Arabidopsis thaliana: one gene and its partners. The protein of the gene in region 3 interacts with the protein of the main gene of each other region in a pairwise test. Each region holds a gene or a part of one and is shown on either strand. Other genes may lie near its edges.

Region 1 (7,136 bases), on a different chromosome or scaffold from region 3:
GAGAGAACCTGGTTTGATTGTGAGATTCCTCATGTGGAGTTCAAAAAATCATCATGATGAAAATTGACAAAATTGTTTAAGGTTATATGTTCCTTAACATTTACGAAATTATGCTTCGTATAGGCATCTCGCTTTAGAGATTCTTTTAAGCACACACACATACTATGTACGTGTCTGTATGTATGTTGATCAAAATTTTAGTAACCAACTTGGTTTTATTATATTCTCTGGCTCTCTGCTGCGTGACATTGAAGCCCTCCTGATCTTAGGTGAATAGGTCTCACTCGCACGCACCACGTTTATTTCTTTCTTTTCGGTATTTAAAAATACTACTAATCATTCAACCTGTTTTTGTATACTAGTGGCTTTGCTTTTGGGTTTTGTTCTGTTCGTGCCAACTTTCATTTAAACTATTTAAACACAGTGCAATGATATATTTAGCTACTTTATCTTTCAATTGGTTTTACTTACATTGTTATCTTTGTAATTTCCTATTCCTTACACTACGGCCGGTATTAGTTGTAAACCTGGCTATATTATATTTTAGAATGATATAGCATACCAGTAAGACAGTAAGTACTTTACATTATCATACATAAAGATTAATCGAACATTTTACAGTGATACCAAAATAATATGAATAGTCAACATTTTCATGGGTCTTGTTTACAAAACTGCAAAAATATCTGCAATTTCCTAAGGATTTTCATTTATATTTCTGTCACTATCTCTTTTTTTGTCAATAACATGCATTACAATGAATTTAAACTCGATGGTGACACAATAACAATACTAGTATATATAAACCATTAAACTGCAAATTATAGTTGAATATCACTAGTTTTTCAAATGAAAATGGCGAATAATAGTAAATGGTATTAATGAATAATTTGAAAATGGTAGTTTAGTGGATAAAGAAGACCCCAAAAACTGCCACTAACCATGATTTTCCTTATATTTTCAATTTTCCATATCATATGAGATTAGGCCTCTATCTTAGTCCGAGGGTTTAAAGGTCAAAGTCAACCTCTTCGATGTGCCTTACCTGCCACGACGTATCGCTTTCCAAAATTTCCGATTCTTACAAATCTACAAAATTTATTCTTTTTGTCGTTTTCTTACAAGAATCGGGAAATAGTTGTTTCTAGCTTGCAAATCTTTCACAGCATTGATTCCTACAAAATAAATAGTACCACTCTTGTATTTTAATAAATTGAACACATCTCTTTCTCCACCTATGCCATACCAATGATCTTTTATTTCTTCTTTTCGTATGTGGTTCTTGGTTTATTAATTATCATAATAATAAACAACAGATACTATAGTCGACATATATATTTGTATATGTTTGTTATCGCATCTATCTATAATTCTCAATGTCACTTCTACCAAAAATCGCGAAGTAGTACATGATCAGGGGTATTATAGGTACTTGACACGCCATGTTAGATGGAGATTTTGTCTTTATGACGAGTGTGTGTGTGTTGCTCAACTAATCTCACATCACGGATTAATCAATCTCAGCCGTTCAAATATATAGAATAAATAGCCTTTTTTTTACCTTATCCATTTATCCATATCTATTTGTTGTTCTCACGTAATCAATCTTCCCATTTTTTTACTAAATAATTAATAATAGGTGAAATATATATATATTTTGGTTATGAAAGTTGACAAATAATTAAGAAGTTTGAAGAAATCGACCAAAGCCAAATGATAGTGGAATTCAAATATAAAGTGAAGTCCAATCAAAGGGATATGATTTTGCTACAAAAGGATAGAAAAGCTTTATGAGTTTGAGACTTGTCGTTTCCGCATAGATTTGCACTAATGAACTTATTGTGGCTGGCAGCCAAACACATCTGTGTGACTTTCGATATTAGTAATAAAGAGTTTAAATAGTTACGTTGGTTTAAGAAAAGTTTACAAATTTGATTTCATCTTTGGGCAGATAGCCATCAATTATTTTATTAATCTACATTTAAAGATTGTTTTAAGAGAAACCAAAGTTGAATAATCTCATCAAAGAACGGTAGGTAAACCCTACCAAATTTAACAACCCTTAAAACCATTTTCTGTATTCACATTCATTTTTTGTTATACTCATCATGGACTTTTTTTTTTTGTTTTGGTAAAAAACATGTACATATTTAGATGCTATCAACAACATGAATGACTTACAAGTTAAGAAACAAATCTCTTTTTTTTTTTGGGATAAAAAGAAACATAAATCTTACCAAGAGATAATCTCTACAAAATTGTTTTTTCAGGATATTTCCAAGAAATGAGAGGAGGTCAACGACTAAAAACAACTTGCTGAATATTTAAAAATCTTTTTCTGCTTAGTGGAGGCATTTATTTTACATTAATTTTTATGTTTTAAAAACATAATGTTATTATATAATTAAATTTCTTGCACAAACAGAGAATATTATTAATATATACTGTGAAGAGTAATAAAACAGTTTCGTTTCATTAAATATTTGATTGAATTATAAAAATAGTGAAAAAATAGAAGATGTGTTCGTGTTCGTGGAGCGGAGGACAACGTAGTTGGTTTCCGCGTGCTGTACGAGACAGATAACTTCTACAGAGAGAAACAAAGATCGAGACAAAAAGAAACCCTTAAAGGATTTGAACGGAGAAGACGAGGAAAAACAAAGACACAACTCTGTAAGTTCTGACCCAATTTTTTTTATGTTTTGTCTGGAAAGTTTCAAGATTTGATTTTTGTGGTTCTCTTTACATTTTCTGGGTTTTGTGTAAGCATTTGATGTGTGGAGTGTCTCTCTTTTTGTTATTCGAATTCATTATCAATCTTTTGTGTGTGTTTCATGTAGATTTGCTCAATTTTTAATCTAGATCTAACCAAATTAATTAACTAAAGATTTAGATAAGAAAAGCCCTAATTTGTGATCTACTATATGATCCAGAATCTGGAGTCTTTGTTTCTACTTGATATATGTAAATCTTGAAAGTTTCCTTTTTTTTTTCTTCTCTTCTTGAAGTAGTAAAGACTTTATCTTTTCTCAATTGAATCCAAGAATGATTAGAGGGTTTATTTATTTTGGGACCAATAAACAGACTTTGTTCTTGGGGGCAGAGACTGTTTCTTTCCCTTTTCTTTTTTTTCACTTCTTTAGAAGATTCTTCATTTGAATTCTGTCCTTCAATTTTGAAGTTGTCTTGTTCTCTTTTTTACTAAATGTGAATCAAAAGAATGTTTTCTTAAGTTTTAAAAAAGCCTGTGGTGGTTACTGCTTTTGGTCCATTGATAAGAAGAATCTTCTTTTCTTCTCTTCTCTTCTCTTCTCTTCTCTTCCGTGTCATTGCTTTGTTATTAAGTATCATTCAGAATTTGAATCAAAACTCTACTTTTGTGTCTTGCAGAACCTTTAGAGAGAGAAAAACAAATGTCGTTCCGTAGCATAGTTCGTGATGTGAGAGATAGTATAGGAAGTCTATCGAGGCGTAGTTTCGACTTTAAGTTAAGCAGCTTGAACAAAGAAGGTGGTAAATCCCGTGGTTCGGTTCAAGATTCTCATGAGGAACAACTTGTAGTAACGATTCAAGAAACACCGTGGGCGAATCTACCTCCAGAGTTATTACGTGATGTGATCAAAAGACTTGAAGAGAGTGAAAGTGTGTGGCCTGCTCGTAGACATGTTGTTGCTTGTGCTTCTGTTTGCAGGTCATGGAGAGATATGTGTAAAGAGATTGTTCAAAGTCCGGAGCTCTCAGGCAAAATCACATTTCCTGTTTCGTTGAAACAGGTTAGATTTCAATTCTTTACTAATGTCATCATCACATATGTTTTGGTTAGTCTTATGATTGGTTATTTCAAGTAATTTCTTCTTCGGTGTTTATAGCCTGGACCAAGAGATGCAACAATGCAATGCTTTATCAAAAGGGATAAATCTAACTTGACTTATCATTTATATCTTTGTCTCAGTCCTGGTAAAACTTCATTTTCTCTGTTTTTGTTCCAAGTTTTTCTCTGTTCTCCAAAGCAAATCTGAAAGCATGAATATTTGCAGCTTTGTTGGTTGAGAATGGAAAGTTTCTTCTTTCTGCAAAACGCATAAGAAGAACTACATACACCGAGTACGTGATCTCTATGCACGCCGACACCATTTCGAGATCAAGCAATACCTACATTGGCAAAATCAGGTAATAGGAAAGACTTTGCCTAGTTATAAGACATTTAGAAAGCGAATGTGCTAATGTTTCCGGCTTAACGCGTGATTATCTCCTCTTTGGCAGGTCTAATTTTCTGGGGACGAAGTTTATAATATACGATACACAACCAGCATACAACAGCAACATCGCTCGAGCGGTCCAACCGGTAGGTCTTAGCCGCAGATTCTACTCAAAGAGAGTCTCTCCCAAAGTACCTAGTGGGAGCTACAAAATTGCGCAGGTTTCTTATGAGCTAAACGTTCTTGGTACCCGTGGTCCGAGGAGAATGCATTGTGCGATGAACTCAATTCCCGCCTCTTCCCTTGCGGAAGGCGGAACTGTGCCTGGACAGCCCGATATCATTGTCCCGCGCTCTATTCTCGACGAATCGTTCCGCAGCATTACCTCTTCGTCATCGAGAAAAATCACTTACGATTACTCGAATGATTTTAGCAGTGCACGGTTTTCCGACATTCTTGGCCCGTTAAGCGAAGACCAAGAAGTGGTATTAGAAGAAGGGAAAGAGCGGAATTCGCCACCACTTGTGCTTAAGAACAAGCCGCCGAGGTGGCATGAACAGCTTCAGTGTTGGTGTTTAAACTTCAGGGGACGTGTAACAGTCGCATCAGTTAAGAACTTTCAGCTCATTGCAGCAAACCAACCACAGCCTCAGCCTCAGCCTCAACCGCAACCTCAACCCCTAACTCAGCCGCAACCGTCTGGTCAGACCGATGGTCCCGACAAGATCATATTGCAGTTTGGGAAAGTGGGAAAAGACATGTTCACGATGGATTTCCGGTATCCGCTCTCTGCGTTTCAGGCTTTCGCTATCTGTTTGAGCAGTTTCGACACAAAACTTGCTTGCGAATAAGTCAAAAACTCAGCTTTGTATGTAATGTTATCAGATTTGCTTTGGAGATTCTTGTTTTGTGGTGTTTTATTTTCACCGAGAATCTCATAATTAGATTTGTTTCAAGCTTTCATTGCTTATGCTGTTTATTGGTGCAACCAAAAAGTTTATTCGAGTTTGGTTTTTCTCCATAGTTTGATTTGTATTCATAACGGTCAAAAACATAAAACGAAAATAACAATAAATCATTAAGAAGCATTGGTTATTGAAATATATGATATATCTCCGATTTTCACATTGATAACAAGTTTGATATTAGAAAAAAAAGGATAATATATAAGAACAAAAAATGGACAAACTGTTTTATGTAAAACATCAAATTATGTTAAGGGCAGGAAAGGAGAGATGAGAGAGCAAATGACAGACACTGAGAAGTGAGCACACTGCTTGCCGACTTGAGGTCAGAGCAGGTTTTAGAAAACGGCAAGCATTCCTTGTTTGGAAAAGCTAGATGGCATATAACCAGCGTTATTTGTTACCACGGTGGTACGTACGGACCGACGCGACTTCCCGTTAGAAGAAACATCGGATGATATGAAACACGCCCTCACGTATGTGAAAGACAGAAATTTCAATGGCTGTCTTCGAGATTTATAGTTACTTTTTCGACATTTTTAATTGTATTAGTTGTAGATTATATTAGTGTCAAACTATTGTATTATATTCATCTAGAATTCTATAGTTTAAAAGACCAATCGTCTGTCAATAAGGTGTGAAGAGTCCATCAAGTAGAGAGATCCATCCCACGTTAGCACATCATTTTAAATTTACGTTCTTTATGAAACATTTTGTTCAAGTTCTTGAATAGTTTCGATAGGTGGTTTAAATAAAAGTAATTAATGCCAAGGAAGTATGCTTGTGTTTATTTCCACGAACAAAAGATATGATTCAGCCCTTTTTTGTTGTTAATATATTTATTTGGTGGTCGAATTCGAACTCACAATGTCATAAAAGTTTAGCCAAACTTGTTAATGAATATTGGTGATCTTGTTTTGGAGGTGTGGACCAATCAAACAACAAATCAACCACTATGTGTGGATTTTTGCGAGGAAAATAAAATGATTGGATAATTAAAATAAGAATTGACCTAACTACGATAGTTATAGTTTAATTAACCAAGTTATGTGACATAATCCATTTCTTAAAGTATAATTTCATCTCATCTTGGTGATCCAAAAGGCAAAAATGTATTTGAAGGGCCATATCGGATAGTCGTCTTTAAAAGGGTCAATGACTCAATGTGGCTCAGTTCTAGTTGCCGCTTTTGATTAGTAAAGATCAGTAAGATTTTAATTTCATTTTCTAAACAGATATCTGATAAGTGATAAGCTAAATCATAAGACTAATTTGGTCTATAAAATTGTACTATTTTCCTTGGTCAGACATGATTCGTTTTCTTTTGGACCTTTTTGAAAACAACATTAAGATTATTTTCTTCTTAACCGATCTTAATCAAGAAAGTGTATTATGAATCTTAGTTTGCAAATGACATATTATCCTTTATCGAGCACGTCAATATTGAACGTCAAATTAATCACGGTATGAGGTTTATGTATGTGTTTAAATATATTGTCAACTAGCTACAAGAGTGGTGAAGCACTAAATCACACCACCAAAGCTTGTGACTTGGTTGTGATTACTCTCATGATCTATTGTAATCTTGTTGTCAGCGTTTTGCATTCTAAAATTCTATTACAAGGACTAAAACATGCAATACAGTGATTTAATAAGTAAGATTTGCTTAAAACAAGCACAACACATGTAAATTGTTAATCGAATGTTTTCTGCGGCTAAAGCCTGAATATGGGAAACTCAAACTGTTTGATAGATTTTCGACTCTTGATCCATATCTCTAGCCCAAAATGTTAACCAATAGAGAAGACCAGCAGCGTATTTGTAACTTGGTTGTACATGTTCAACAAAAACACAAGTTTTGTTCACTAAAATTTGCTAGCAAAAAGTGCCAACTCATGAATAAATTCAGCATCGCTTTTTTTTTCTCTGGCTAAGAAGTAGTGGTGAATGATCCAATATGGAACGGGTAATC
Region 2 (5,057 bases), on a different chromosome or scaffold from region 3:
TATTTTGTAGTTTGTGAATTCTGTTTTCTCTTTGATTTATCTAGTCCCGATTCAAGAGTGGTACGCTTGATCAAATACATGGGAGAAGAAGAAAATCCGAAACAAAAGCGCGTTTTATGTATGAACAAAGTTGATCTGGTTGAGAAGAAAAAGGATCTATTAAAGGTTGCTGAGGAGTTCCAAGATCTTCCGGCATATGAAAGGTGGATATATATATACCAGACTCAGTTTAAAAACAATTACCGGGGAAGTCTTCGAATTGATTGAAATGTGCTTTTTCCCTGTTTGGTTTTCTAGATACTTCATGATATCGGGACTTAAGGGATCAGGAGTGAAAGATCTTTCCCAATACTTAATGGATCAGGCTGTTAAAAAACCATGGGAAGAAGATGCATTCACGATGAGTGAAGAAGTCTTGAAGAACATTTCTCTTGAAGTTGTTAGGGAGAGATTACTAGACCATGTCCATCAGGTAATAATACAACCTCTACTAGTATAACATTTTGTATCAGTTTCCGTCTATTCCAAGATGACAAATTACAGGATTGATTGAAACAAATTGTAGGAAATACCATATGGTCTGGAGCACCGTCTAGTGGACTGGAAAGAGCTGCGTGACGGGTCTCTTAGAATTGAACAGCATCTCATCACTCCTAAACTTAGCCAACGCAAGATTCTTGTAGGCAAGGGCGGTTGCAAGATCGGGTAAGAGCATACAAGATCGTTCATAATTCATTCTTTTGACTAATCAATGACTCAAGGATGATCTTATGTTGATGCTAATTTTGCAGGAGGATAGGAATTGAGGCCAATGAAGAACTCAGGAGAATAATGAACCGCAAAGTTCATCTCATTCTCCAGGTTAAGCTCAAGTGAAACCATTCTCCCAAGGGTTATGTTTTTGAGTTTGATGGATTTAGGATTGGATTGTACGCAATTAGAAATCTGTCTGTATATGTTGTTGACATGTTGTCAAAGATTAGACATTTGACATTAGAAATATAAACTTACTACATACAGACAGTAATAAGATAAAAGAAACAGAATTTTGAGAAAACAACAAGCAGTCTTAACGTCAGAAGTGGAAACCACAAGTAGTCTCTTTATCTTAAAGTCTAAAAACTAACAGACTCCAGGAAATGGAAGTGTTAACTGATCAAGAAGACTAACCACCGGTGTAGTAAGCACCGGGTCATAAGCAAAACCCTGCAAGACCTCTCCGTCTGAACCGCCACCTGAGCTACCGCCACCACTGCCGGAGTAAGGACACGGTGGGACCCACAGCCAGCTTTTTCTCACTATATCAAACAGCAACTGCAACGAGGTTCCTCTTAACACAATCATTACAAACTCTTGATTTCCGACACACTCGAATCCTTTTCCACCTTCTTCTGCTGCAAACTGTGTGTAGAGCGGCTGAGGCATCCGTTCGATCTCGACCCATGTGGCGTTATCTTGTTGCAAACTCCAAAGTCGTAGGCTTTTGGGAACGTTCAACTTGCTTTTCTCAACAGCTGCTACAAGAATAAGCCTCCCTTTGCTCTCTAACAAGCTTGGAGATCTGAGAAATCTCCTCATCGGAGCTTGAATCTTGATCCACCGGTTTCCAGTAACTTCATAGGACAAAACGCTAAAAGGGCTATAGTTCATACAGTAAAACTTGCCTTGCACGTAAACCATCTTACCAGATTCCAAGCTACAAAGCCGTGGCAAAGAAGAAGTCATCGCCCAGAGGGAAAAGAATCCGCCGGCGTCGACATGGAAACTCTCCGATGAGAGGTTTTTCACAGCGTAAGGAGATATGAGATCATCTCCAGCGACAGTAACATCAATAGAGGTTGGTGTTACCGAGAGACCTATCGAAGGGAAAAGCCTTGGCCTTGATATTGGTGGCAACTGACTCACGGATCCGACAAGAGGGTTACACAAGAGAATGGTTTTAAGACCAGCTTCTTCGGAGACCCAACTCACTAACCCTCCTGATGATCCTGAAGGATAAAACCCTGAAGGGATATAAGCAAAAGAGAGACGGTACCATCGGATCTCATTAGGATCAAACAAAAAGCCTTCAGCTTTATTGGAATCATCATCGTTTGTTCCTCCTCTCTTGTAAATGTAACTCTTTAGGGTTTTGTGTTTGAAGAAGAGGAAACAGTTGTGTCGGAGAGGAAGTAGTTGTAGATATGTCTCGAGGAAGGTGTTGGAGAAAAGTAGACTGTAGAATCTCTTGCAGACGCAACGTGTCCGGAAAAACGCCGGAGGTGGAAGAAAAGCAATGACGCGGTCAAGAAGAGGAGGTGGTAGCTTGCTCCAAATCCGACCGTCCATCCATTGACCGGAGCTTGAGTCTGTGGTGGTGCTCGTTGTTGTGCTACTGTTGCTGCTACTGGTAAATGTGTAAGAGAAAGGTAAGGTTAAAGATGGGTTATTGATGAACACAGTTGAATCCATTTTAGCTGAAAAATGAAAAGATTTGGTGAAAGTGGATTTAGAGTTTATTTTCTTGTGTTGGGAATATGTGAAGGGCTTTTGAGGAGGGTTTTGGTGAAAGTTATGCAAAACCCATTGTAGGAAAAGAGGCAAAGATCATATGTAAAAGTTTTGAAGAAAGAGACAAAAGTGTTTGGTCTTTCTCTGTGAGCTTCTTGCATGGGTTTTTGATATGTTCTTGACTTCAATAGAGTAAGGTGGCATATACTTATATATAAAGAACATTTGGTATAAAACAAACAAAGGTAATGGATTTATACAAATAGAAAACATATATTATATTGAATAGAAAAAGAAATAGTGTTTCTTTATTGTTAAAAAGGTATAGTAGTAAGTAAGTAGTGACACACCAACCAAAAAAAAAATAACTCAGAAATTTATGTTTATTTTCTATCAACGTAAAAGATTATATATGTTAATGTTTTAGTTGATAGCTTAGCTTACAGACGTTTTTCTATTTGTGTGCTGACAAAAAGAGATTGGAAGTAAAAAATCAGTTGATATATGTTGTTATTTTCTAAACAGAAATAATAAAATACGTCTAAAAAACTAAACCGGTCAAGTGGCCAAGACAAGAGAAATAGGTTTAATTCCAAATAATCTAAATTTCACAAGAAAATTGGATATATATTTTTAATATTAAAGTGTGTTTCGAATATATATAACGGATGTACTTTGTTATCATACGAACCTAGAACATCAACAAGCACAAGTATCCAAAAGCCTTGTTATAACCCCAGTTTGGTGATAATTATTGACTAACAAAATTTTGTTTGTATATGTGTGTGTTTGGGTAAACGTGAAAATGGTGGCAGAGGAAGTGATGGTCTTAAAGTTGAGAGCTTCAGAGTTATCTTGTCAATGCCCAGCATCGAAATTATTAATTTGGAGACTACTCCAATACTTTTCACACTTGATCACATCTTCAAATCTTTTTTCTTTCTTTCTTTTTCCTCTCTAATTTGTAATATACAACTTTTATTACATGCACGCTTCTCAACTTCTATAATGGTCAGTCAAATTGTACTCGTGGAGATCAACCCAAGAAAACTAGAGATTATTAAGATCATTTTTTTACTTATATATTATATCAAGCCAATTAGAATTACTTTATATGTTAATATATATGTGTGTTTTATTCTAAATAAATTAGTTGGTTCTCTAATGTCATAGAAGTGCATTTATTCTAAATAATTTTGTTGGAGGAGACCACATTATCTTATTCGAACTCAACACAAAATTTGACAATATCTACTTTTTTAGTTTCTAATTATTTGATGTTTTGAGTTATTTTTACTTGTTCGACCAAAATTAATGTTTTATAAAAATATTGTTATTATTTTTGCTTGTGACTAATAATAAAAAAAGAAAAATAAAATTACTAAACTAACAAAAAAATAATTTTATAAAAATAGAAAACATATTTTTTATTAATTTCTATCTAAAATCCAAAACATCAAATAAAGAGGAACATAGTGAGTATGGTTTTAAAAGACTCCAACAATAAAACTTCCATCTAGGAAGAAAAACTGATAACATGTATAACACACAAGAATGTTATTTCTAAACATGAGAAATAGATATACACAAAATTTAATATGAATTATGATGCATTTTTGTCATGTGATCCAGTTTGTTCCTAAATTATAGCAGAAATAGCTCTTAGTTTATCCCCTTTTTTTAAAGAGTAAACAAACAAACTATATGTTAGTATGTTACCCTTATTTGATGTTGTTGCAATTTAATGTGAAACAATTCATTATATACACTATATATATATATATAGTGATTATTTTTTCTTATAAATTGTAAACTCTTTCAAACTCTAAAACCTCCAAGTCCAAGATAATGAACTTCTTGTTTAGGGAAAATAAAACTAGCTTTCATACAAATCTCAAATATATCAATTTACATCTAATTTGCAAACAAAAGAATTTTAGACATCACAAAACATTTACAACTCAATTTCTAATTAATTCTTTATCCAGAAAAAAAATTCTTATATTAATCATTGCTAGCTATAATCAAGGTTTAGAAATAAATAAAAGGAGTTTGGATTTTTTGAGATTAGGGTTAGAGAGACATCATGACTGAAAATAAAGAAGAAGAAAGAGTGAAGAGTAGAGTCAGATCAAAAGTCCAATCAGGGTTTCTTATTTAAGGCATTGTTTACCGTGAAAATAATAATACAAGTGAGAATATCTGAAGCTGACAAGTCGCAAAAGGGTAATAATATTCTCTATTTGCAGTAACTCAAGAGGCTTCGCTTTTGTTTGTGTTTTGATGCTAAAGGAAGTCTCTGAAACCAAACAGTGTCTTGTTTTTATCAAATCATCTATCTTCCCATTTCCCAACTAGGTTTTGTTTAACTTTGAATTACGCTTACAAGTCGTACCCATAATAAATAGTCTGATTTAACATTAAAGCATAAACTTTTAATGAAGCATCTCTTTCTAAACTTAATAATAAAACATAATCTGATTTTATTTTGTCGCCCACATTAACTGATTCGAAACTCCATTCATGCCATTATGTAGTTTTATTTACACACATGTGTTAATTGGTAC
Region 3 (4,998 bases):
AGATAATGCGTTAAAGTAGTTATTTATTTTCTAACAAATAAATTTCAATTAAATAGGCGCTATATTTACTAGACTGGTTTACATTAATTTACATTAATATAAAGAACAATATTAATTTACATTATGTATTTTTTATATTATTTACATTAATTTATTACTAAAATGTTTTTATTTTCGTTTCTAGAATCTTTTCTACATTCAAAATATACAACAGAAATTAAATTAAAAAGTATAATTACAGAAGCATCAATGCATAAAATCTCTAGAGCTGATTATGTATAAAATAATCGACGGTACTAAAAAATTGCAACAACTGATTTTTTCGAGAAAAAAAATTGACTGCTATAAAATTGACCATGTATTCAGTTATTCAGACCTGGTCTTGTCTTGACTCCTTCAGCATAGCTGAGAAAATCCATGTTTACGGTCTAGTGAACAATATTTGGGTTCACTTATTAGGTAAATCTTTTTATTTATTTCCTCTTATCTTAAGTTTTTAACCAATCTGAATTCGTTATTTAATAAAAGAAATTTAAACTCATTTAATTATAAAATTTAAATCATAATCATTTTTTTATAAACTCAAACTCATATATAATTTAGTCTAATTATAAAATCTAAATCCTAATTTTTTTATTTCAGCCAATCAGAATATACTACCTAATAAAAAGTTAAAAAAACTTATTTAATTATAAATAAAAAATCTAAATTCTAAATAAAAAGTAAAAAAAAATTAAATTCTAACCACTTTTTAAAAAATTCAAACCAAAATGTAATCTCGTTTAATTATAAAATCTAACCCTAGTTCTTCTTTGTACACCCAATTCGATATTTAAACTCTTTTAATTGCAAACTCTAAATCTCTAACCGTTCTTTCTAAACCCAAACCGATATTTAACATTGTTTAATTATAAAATCTAAATCCATTTATAAAACCAAACAGACGTTCAATCTCGTTTAGTTATAAAATCTAAAACTGTTTATAACTCAAATCGATATTTAATAGTAAAATCTAAACTTCAATCCTTTCTTATAAACCCAAAACTATATAAAATTTTGTTCTTGTGGCAAATTAGATTTTATAATAAAATAAATTTAATTTATTTATTAGGTATAAATTCTAATTTAATGGAATAAAAAGGTGAATAAAGGGGTGAATCTAAATATATTTTTTATTGGCCCATATTTTTTACTAGGATAATGGCCGATTATGCTTTGGTGAAAATTTAGATAACGCAAGTTAGATTTTTCTCACTTTATTTAATAAGATAAGATTTTAGCGGGGATGAAATTTTTACAAGCGAATCCCTCAATATTTCACTTATGTTCGTGGATGATAGCTTCTTTTTTGTAAAACGACAAAAAAAACAATGCGTCATTGGATTTGGAATACTAAAGAACTATGAAGAGGTTTTTGGTCATGAGTTGACAACTCGATGATGGACAAACTTATGGCAATCTTCGAAATCACTAATATAGGGGACATGAACAACTACTTGAGATTATCGAAAAGTTTAGGAGGATCTAAGACAAAAAAAATTTACTCTTTTAGAAAATATTTACATAATAGAATAAATGGTTGGTTTACAAAATTCTTATCTAAAGATGGCAAAGAAGTATTGATTAAATCAGTACCAGATGCATTGCTTACTTATGTATTGTCTTGTTTTAGATTACCAAAATCAGTAACATCAAAACTTAGGAATGTAGTAACGAAATTTTGGTAGAGTTCCAATGGACGAACAAAACGTTTACAGTGGAAGGCATGAGATAAATTTTGTCATAGTGCCTCTCTGCTCTCCCTCTCCTCCTCCGGGTGCCTCTCTGCTTGCTACTTGGTTCCGTCTCTTCAGTTAGGTCCTCCTCTGCGGTTCAGGTTTCCTTATGAGTTTTTTGAGTCCTTGGGTCGTTCCCTCTTCGTTCTTTTGGTTTTTGGGCCTGCTATTTTTAAGTTTCAGCTTCTTTGGTTGTTTTGGGCTTTGCTCTTGTTGTCGGGCCTGCGCGCCTTGGATTTGAGCTTTTGGATGTGTATGTTTTCGAGCCTGTGTGCTTATGTTTGGACACTTGTCTTATAACTTGTTGTTTGTTTTAATGGAAATTTAAAATTAAAAAAAAATAAGAAAAATAAAATAAAAAATAAATAAGTTTTGTCGTAACGGTGGACTTGGTTTCTAGAATGTGGATGATTTTAATACAACTTAATTAGCAAAACAACTGCCGCAATTGATTATGATTCTTAACTCTTTATTTGCAAAGATGTTCAAAGAAAAATATTACCGGAAATCAAATCACATGAATCCAATTAAATTATACACACCATCCTACAAATAGAGGAGTTTAGTATCTGTTCAACTACTGATTAATCAAAAGTTGATGAAAAGAGTTGAATTAATTTTCAGGTGTTTTCCTTTGAAAGAAAAAAACAGAGAAAATGTTTTAAAATGAAAATTTATAGGTAAAAAAAGTCAATTGGGAATCGTTAGATCTCACTGGTTCAATGTGTGAGCCGGGCTTTAAAAACATTTTGATTTAACCCATACACACATCTCTCTGTTCCACGATTCTCTTCCTCAGCCTCCACGTCGTCTCTAAACTCAGCAAAAACCAATGTCGACGGTGAGAAAAATCACTCTTAAGAGTTCGGATGGCGAAAACTTCGAAATTGACGAAGCGGTGGCGCTAGAGTCACAAACCATCAAACATATGATTGAAGATGACTGTACCGATAATGGTATCCCTCTCCCTAATGTCACAAGCAAGATCCTTTCGAAGGTGATTGAGTACTGTAAGAGACATGTCGAAGCTGCTGAGAAATCCGAAACCACGGCCGATGCTGCTGCTGCTACTACTACCACCACCGTCGCGTCGGGTTCTAGTGATGAAGATCTCAAGACTTGGGATTCTGAGTTTATCAAAGTTGATCAGGGCACTCTCTTCGATCTTATCCTGGTTTGTCAAACTTATTTTTAATTGCTTTGGTTTTCAAAGTTTGCGATTTCATTTCTAGGGTTTGAGATCTTGATTTCTGTTTGAGATCTAATTTTAGGGTTCAGGTTTTGTTTAGATTGCCAATTTCACAGTTTAAACTATGATCATGTCTGATTGAAATATATGGTCTGATAGAGAAAAAAGTGTCAAGAGATTTCTTTTGAGTTTGTTGGATTTGTTTATAGCTGAAGACCACTTTACATCCAAACTCATGTTTTTTATGTTCTGTCTTAAACATTGGATAATGTTTAATTTCTTTGGGATTTGCTTGAATCTAGATTTGTTTTTCTGAGAAACCTTTTGGATGCTAACATGACATGTTTTGTTCTGTCTGAAACGAGTGATAAAGTTTATTTTCTTTGGAATCGTAGTTCAATATGTTTGATTTGCTTGAACAATAAAGTTCCATTTTTATCTGAAAGTTGAAGAGCTTGAATCTAAGTTGGTTTCCCTGTGACACCTTTTAGGCTGCTAACTACTTGAATATCAAGGGACTGTTGGACTTGACTTGCCAGACAGTGGCTGATATGATTAAAGGAAAAACCCCAGAAGAAATCCGTAAGACGTTCAATATCAAGAACGACTTCACGCCAGAGGAAGAAGAAGAGGTTCGCCGTGAGAATCAGTGGGCGTTTGAATGAAGAAAAATGAAGACCTAGGTTGCTGTCATGTCCTCGACCCATTTGTGTCTCCCTGTCTTATCTTCTTTCTTTGACTATATATCCATTCTCTTCTACGTGATGGTCCAGCTAAGACAGTGGGTCGGATGTTAATGTTATGTTATGTATGTCAAATTAAAGACTTAACTACGAAACATATTGAAGTTGTTGCTCAAAAGAGAGTGTTGGTCTTCTATTGTTTCGTCAATCATTTAGATAGGTTGTGAACACAAGTGATAAGATTTGTCTGCATGTTCTTAGAAAGAGAAAAGATCTTATTACTTGTAAATAAATGCCTATACAAGCACACACGAGAGATTGATAGATAATTCTGATACAAGAACCTCTGCCTTAATCTTTAGAAAGGCCCATTCACAAGTAATCAATGTGACGAAAGAAAACGAAAGACATAAAAATGTAGTAGTAACGTGATGTTGGAAGCGTAGATTGAGATTCTAGCGAACCCTTCTGCAGTTAAGTCTGACCTCATTGCCATTCCCACTGATACTACTCATCTTGATCATCGATTTCACAAAAGCCCTCTCGAACTCTTCGTTGGAATTTGCATATTTGGCCACGAGTTTCTTAGTAGAGGGTACTGCAAGAAGCGATTCGTCGGATGAGAATAGTGACTTGCCTTGGATAAGCATCTTGTAGTAGATATTGTCGAATGACGTCACGGTTCCATCCATGTTCGATCCAGCATTCTTCACCGTGTTATGGGCCGGGCACACTCCCTCCAACCTGGCTGCGAATGAGGGGTTTAGTGTTGGGTCAACCTCCTTTTGTGTGTTGAATTTATGGAGCCTATTCTGGAACGATGAACAGTGGGCGAATCCTAGTGTATGACCTCCTGCCATTTCATTCAACATTCGGAATTTAAACCATTATAAGCATTGGAACTATATTTGTCTTTTGCCAATTATTTTTAAAATTTAGATTTATGTTGCATCTTTTAGCATAGTTTAAGAAAAAGATTTTAGAAATCTTTGTAAATATATTTTAAGTGAGTGCGAGAATGTTTAATACCAGAGAGAGCAACAAGATCATGCATAGAGAGGCCTCTTTGGCCAAAATTTTGACGCAATTGAGAAATGTTGAAAGTAGGAGCTGGTAGTTGTCTTGTTTCTATTGCCTTTGATATTCTTCCATCTTTTCTCCCTTTTGGCACTGCCCATGTAGGCCCTCCTGACTATAGTAACATCCACAAATAATATTTTAGGTGGATCATTAGAATCATCAAATAAAAGTAGTACTTGGAATTTGAGATGGAGAGAGACTTACGAGAGCGACAGCATCTCTTGCCGCAAGTGAAAGAATGTCGGCGCAAGAGACGATACCGGGACATTGT
Region 4 (4,803 bases), 9.9 Mb from region 3:
TTGGTTGTATCAAAAGTTTTGAACTTTGAAGATGTGGTGATGAAATTTGTGTGTGTGTTTTTTGTAGATCAATGGATTGCCTTTTAACAAGTATACATGGTTGATGACTCATAATGCCTTTAGCAATGCAAATGCACCACTTTTGCCAGGTGTTGAGAGGATTACATTTTACAATCAAGAAGATACTATTACTAATCAGCTACAAGTAATGCTCTTATTACCAACTCTCTTATTATAGTTTCCTCTTTTTTTGGATAAAACTCTTGAATGTATATTTTTGTTCTAGAATGGAGTTAGAGGGCTAATGCTGGATATGTATGACTTCAACAATGATATCTGGCTTTGCCATTCGCTTCGAGGGCAATGTTTCAACTTCACCGCTTTTGTAAGTTTTATCTTCAGCTTAACCTTGCTGGATCGAAAGCTTGAAACCTGATTGGATTGGTAAATGTGAACTTTGTTTTCTTTTTGAATCAGCAACCTGCAATTAACATACTGAGGGAAGTTGAGGCATTTCTGAGTCAAAACCCAACAGAGATTGTTACCATCATAATAGAGGATTATGTGCACAGACCTAAAGGCTTATCAACACTGTTTGCCAACGCTGGTTTGGACAAATACTGGTTCCCTGTTTCGAAAATGCCTAGAAAGGGAGAAGATTGGCCTACTGTGACTGACATGGTGCAAGAGAATCATAGGCTCCTGGTTTTCACTTCTGTTGCTGCCAAAGAAGATGAAGAAGGCGTTGCGTATCAGTGGAGATACATGGTTGAAAATGAATGTGCGTATTACACACAGTTTATATCTTTAATGAAAATTGTCTCTGAGAATAACCTTCTCTTGCCATTTTCTTATGATTGTCTAAAGCTGGGGATCCCGGAGTGAAGCGAGGTTCTTGTCCTAACAGAAAAGAGTCTCAACCTTTAAATTCAAAAAGTTCTTCGCTATTCTTGATGAATTACTTCCCGACATATCCGGTTGAGAAAGACGCTTGCAAGGAGCACTCAGCTCCACTTGCTGAGATGGTTGGGACTTGTCTCAAGTCAGGAGGGAATAGAATGCCAAACTTTCTTGCTGTTAACTTCTACATGGTACTGAATCAATCATATAACTATAATATGACTGTTTTTACGAGATCTAGCTAACAAACCATAATATTGCAGAGAAGTGATGGAGGCGGCGTTTTCGAAATTCTGGATAGAATGAATGGACCGGTACTTTGCGGTTGTGAAACTCTTTCTGCTTGCCAGGTATTAACTTATTAACTCGCGCCAAAGTTACTTATGGGTATGAAATAAGATCTTACAAGCCTAAATTATCTAAAACCGGCACCCGTATTTTGGTTCTTGATGTTGCAGCCAGGAGCAGCTTATGGTTCATGCAAAAATGTTACTGTACAGACAAGAACTCCAAGCATGGATTCAACGGCTGGAAGCAACTCAGGTGGAAGCTACTCAGGTTCAGTTCAGTTCTCAAGATCTTTAGCTTCTGTGGCCCAACTAAACAACATTGTTGTCTTCTGCTTCTCATTGCTTCCGTTGCTGATATTTCTACTATGACACAACCAATCAAACCACGTGGAGAGATTCTTAGGTTAGAGAATCTTGATCACTTCTTTAGAACGAATGAGAGAGCCTAAGTTGACATGAATTGCCTTAGAAAGAGTTTCTGATTTGATTCTTGTATTGTAGACTGCAGAGCTATAGGCAGAAATCTTGTGTATGTGTGTCTTCAGCTTCTGTTGATTGTTATGCAACTTATATATATATATATATAGACACAATTCTACTCCAATAGAAACTTTACTGAATATTTATATATATATGTTGTTGATTGATGAGAGAACACATAAGATATATGCAGATTCAATTGTATGAATTACTATGTACACAACAAACAAGAAATATGATGAGCAACACTAGACAGCATGCAGCAACGGTGGTGGATTCTGAGCATTGAGAAGCAATTCCATGGGTTTGATCTGAAGAGCAGGACTGATGGTAAGTAAAGCAATGAAGCAATCTACAGGAACTCTAGTTCCCCATAAGTTGATGGATTCGAGTTTTCTGCATTTGTTTACAAGAACAAGAAGGCCTCTCTCTGTCACATGACGGCAACACCACATTCCGATTGTCTGCATAAAGGATTCCAATTTCGAAAGCGTGATTCTCATGAATCTAGAGAGAATTATTTGGTTAGATGATTGTTGTTACCTTAAGCTGATGGCAGCGTTCTGCAATTGCGAAAAGAGACTCATCGGTTATAAATGTTCCTCCTATGTTTAGGTGTTGCAGTGAGGAAGTTCTTGAAATCTGTCAAATCAAAATCAAGATTCTCTGAAATGATTAAAACAAAAAAGGAATCTTCAAGATTCCAGTGCACAAAAAACGGTGTTAGATTTTACCAGTTGAACAACACCAGAATCAGTAATGGCGGTCATGCCCCATAAAGAGACAGAGTTTAAATTGGATACACATCTTGCAGAAGCTATTTGGTAAAGACCATTATCAGTTATATGACAACCCCATCTGCTTCGAGATCTTCAAATATGAAAGAAGAAAAAAACAGAGTTTATAGTTCTGTTCTGTTTTTTGACCAAGTCAATATCCTATCTCAAACACCCTAAAGGTAAAGTTGGAAACTTGACCAAAAAATTCAGCAAATCTCCACTATCCCACCAATCTTGTTTACTCTTAATCCGCCATTGAAGGACAAATCAAGTACGATCATAGTACAAGAAACAAACAAAGAGCAAAACAGAGAGAAAGAGAGAGAGATTACATGTCGAGTTCTTTGAGGTTGAAAGCAAGATGAACGAGACGAGAAGTGGAATCATCGTCCATTTTCCAACCAGCAAAGCTCAGAGTTTCTCTTCTCGCCATCGATTGATTTACAGCTTTTCTCCATTTCTTGCAAACACCACTTGCCCTAAAAACCCCAAAATTCACCAAAAACTTCAATCTCACAACAATGATTTATTTAATCAAAAAAAGAGAGGATCAAACTTGTAAGGATCATCAATGAAAACACTTACTGGGCCAAAACGGTGAAAGAAGTAGCCAACGAAAATATATATGCAAGAAGGTCTAATGGTAAACGATCAATCGCTGCTTCTTCATCCATGACTTGTATGATTTTAGAGCTTCTTAAATCAATATTTGTAGAAGATTTTTATGTATTAAGAATTGTTTGTATATATCATTAGTTCTTCATAATTGCAGAGGAAGCAGATGTTGTCTTTTTCATGGTTTAACTGCAGAAGATGTGGTCATAGTTCCGTCATATTTTTTAATCGTTATAACAAAAAATTTGAAATTAATTTATATGATTTAATAAATGTTTTTATTACACGGTCCAAGATTTTGCGTAGAAGAATACCTCTAGGACTCCGTCTTTTTTCTTCTGTACGCCACGTGGCACATGCCACGGCCTACGGTGCGTAATAAAAGATCTTTCTTATTCACTCAAAAATACATTATTTTTTGTGTTGCTTGCTTCACAAAATATTTAAATGTTAGTGAACTAACACATACTTTAATTGTTAAATTTGACATGACGTTATCTGTAATTTTCTTTTCTCATCTTACGTTTGTACTTTTCGTGTTCAATGTGTTTATGCAAGAAGAAGTTATTTTGTCAAATTACTTATAGGTTAATTTATTCATTAAAAGACAAAGAGTAAAGAAGGAAAACTATCTAAATAGATTTCTGTTGACAAAGATTGTTTTCACATCTTCAACTTTATTCAAGACACACACAAAAAAGTACATTTGATTTGGTTGATTTTACTTATACAACACATACATGCTTCAAAAACTCTTCATCAGTCGATAATTTTTCCAAAACACTAGACGATAAACACGTTTGAAACTCGATGTTTCCTTCTTCGATCCCCGGATAAGCAATGAGTTTACCATCGGTGGTATTTCCCGGTCCAGCTCGAACCGCTATTGGTTTACCCCAACCGAAATCGTTTCCATACACATTGAACCGAGGAGAGCTAGCAATTGTTATAGAATTACTAAAAGCCTTAGCATTCAATATACTCGGTTTCTTCACCCAATTCTCAGCAAACTCTCTAAACTCTTCATTCGTTTGTGACCCAACAGTTTTGTTTATTTGCAATGCAGCCCAACCAAGCCCATTGTGAAGCATCTCCGCCACAGTAGTCGTCACCGTCGCGAATCCGACCACGTTACCGAAACACTCTTTCTCAAGCGGAGGGTTTAGTCTTCCTCTCATATCCACCAGTAACTTGCAATGAATCACTTCTTCCGGATTCAGACCACTGTTTCTGATTATCGATCGCCACATATACGCTGAAACCGCTTGAAGCGACGATATTTTCCGATCATCGGAGTCAACCTCGCCGTTAGCTTTCGCTTTAAGCTCAGAGATGTTTCTACTCGTGACTCGAAAAATCTTCTCTTGTAATAACGATGAAGTAACAACAACCCGGTTCGGTGTCTCCGTCTCCGGTAACGGAATTCGAATCGGATACTCAATACCGTCGAGAAACCATCCACGGAGAAGCAAAGGAGGAAACTTTCTCCGATGATCGGCATCAAACCCGTTAAAGCAAATCTCCGACCAAGTATTGAAGAAACTCCAAAACGAAGATCCATCTGCAACAATATGATTATAACCAAACCCTATAAAAACCCCATCTTTCAATTCCGTTACTTGAAACGCAATTAACGACTCCGAGATTCCTTCACAGCTCCTAACACCATTCGCCGGGAAAAAACGATTCAAGAACTCAGGGACATTACTATCAACAGGTTCTAAAACATCACTAACCGA

Evidence for each region.
Region 1: the proteins of AT5G42190 (region 3) and TLP1 interact in a two-hybrid assay, tested with the Arabidopsis thaliana proteins (3 studies listed by BioGRID).
Region 2: the proteins of AT5G42190 (region 3) and UFO interact in binary tests that used the Arabidopsis thaliana proteins (3 or more experiments, as listed by UniProt).
Region 4: the proteins of AT5G42190 (region 3) and AT5G67140 interact in a two-hybrid assay, tested with the Arabidopsis thaliana proteins (2 studies listed by BioGRID).

The regions. Positions count from the first base shown.
Region 1 is NC_003070.9:28,879,328-28,886,463, forward strand, and holds TLP1 (tubby like protein 1), read left to right. Parts: upstream 1-2,211; 5' UTR 2,212-2,673; exon of another isoform or gene 2,674-3,390; 5' UTR 3,391-3,413; coding exon 3,414-3,773; intron 3,774-3,869; coding exon 3,870-3,957; intron 3,958-4,037; coding exon 4,038-4,170; intron 4,171-4,263; coding exon 4,264-5,050; 3' UTR 5,051-5,696; downstream 5,697-7,136.
Region 2 is NC_003070.9:11,033,574-11,038,630, reverse strand, and holds UFO (F-box family protein), read right to left. Parts: upstream 2,640-5,057; 5' UTR 2,452-2,639; coding exon 1,123-2,451; downstream 1-1,122. Other genes in the region: AT1G30960 (GTP-binding family protein), read left to right, coding at 45-203, 298-472, 566-705, 792-876. UniProt on the Arabidopsis thaliana protein: Component of SCF(ASK-cullin-F-box) E3 ubiquitin ligase complexes, which may mediate the ubiquitination and subsequent proteasomal degradation of target proteins. Considered as a meristem identity factor required for normal growth of the young floral meristem.
Region 3 is NC_003076.8:16,853,126-16,858,123, reverse strand, and holds AT5G42190 (E3 ubiquitin ligase SCF complex subunit SKP1/ASK1 family protein), read left to right. Parts: upstream 1-2,382; 5' UTR 2,383-2,607; coding exon 2,608-2,949; intron 2,950-3,455; coding exon 3,456-3,629; 3' UTR 3,630-3,933; downstream 3,934-4,998. Other genes in the region: PER64 (Peroxidase superfamily protein), read right to left, coding at 4,103-4,500, 4,677-4,839, 4,932-4,998.
Region 4 is NC_003076.8:26,792,091-26,796,893, forward strand, and holds AT5G67140 (F-box/RNI-like superfamily protein), read right to left. Parts: upstream 3,280-4,803; 5' UTR 3,124-3,279; coding exon 3,035-3,123; intron 2,929-3,034; coding exon 2,782-2,928; intron 2,541-2,781; coding exon 2,405-2,540; intron 2,313-2,404; coding exon 2,214-2,312; intron 2,135-2,213; coding exon 1,919-2,134; 3' UTR 1,790-1,918; downstream 1-1,789. Other genes in the region: AT5G67130 (PLC-like phosphodiesterases superfamily protein), read left to right, coding at 68-205, 287-385, 478-781, 868-1,091, 1,164-1,250, 1,359-1,559; AT5G67150 (HXXXD-type acyl-transferase family protein), read right to left, coding at 3,790-4,803.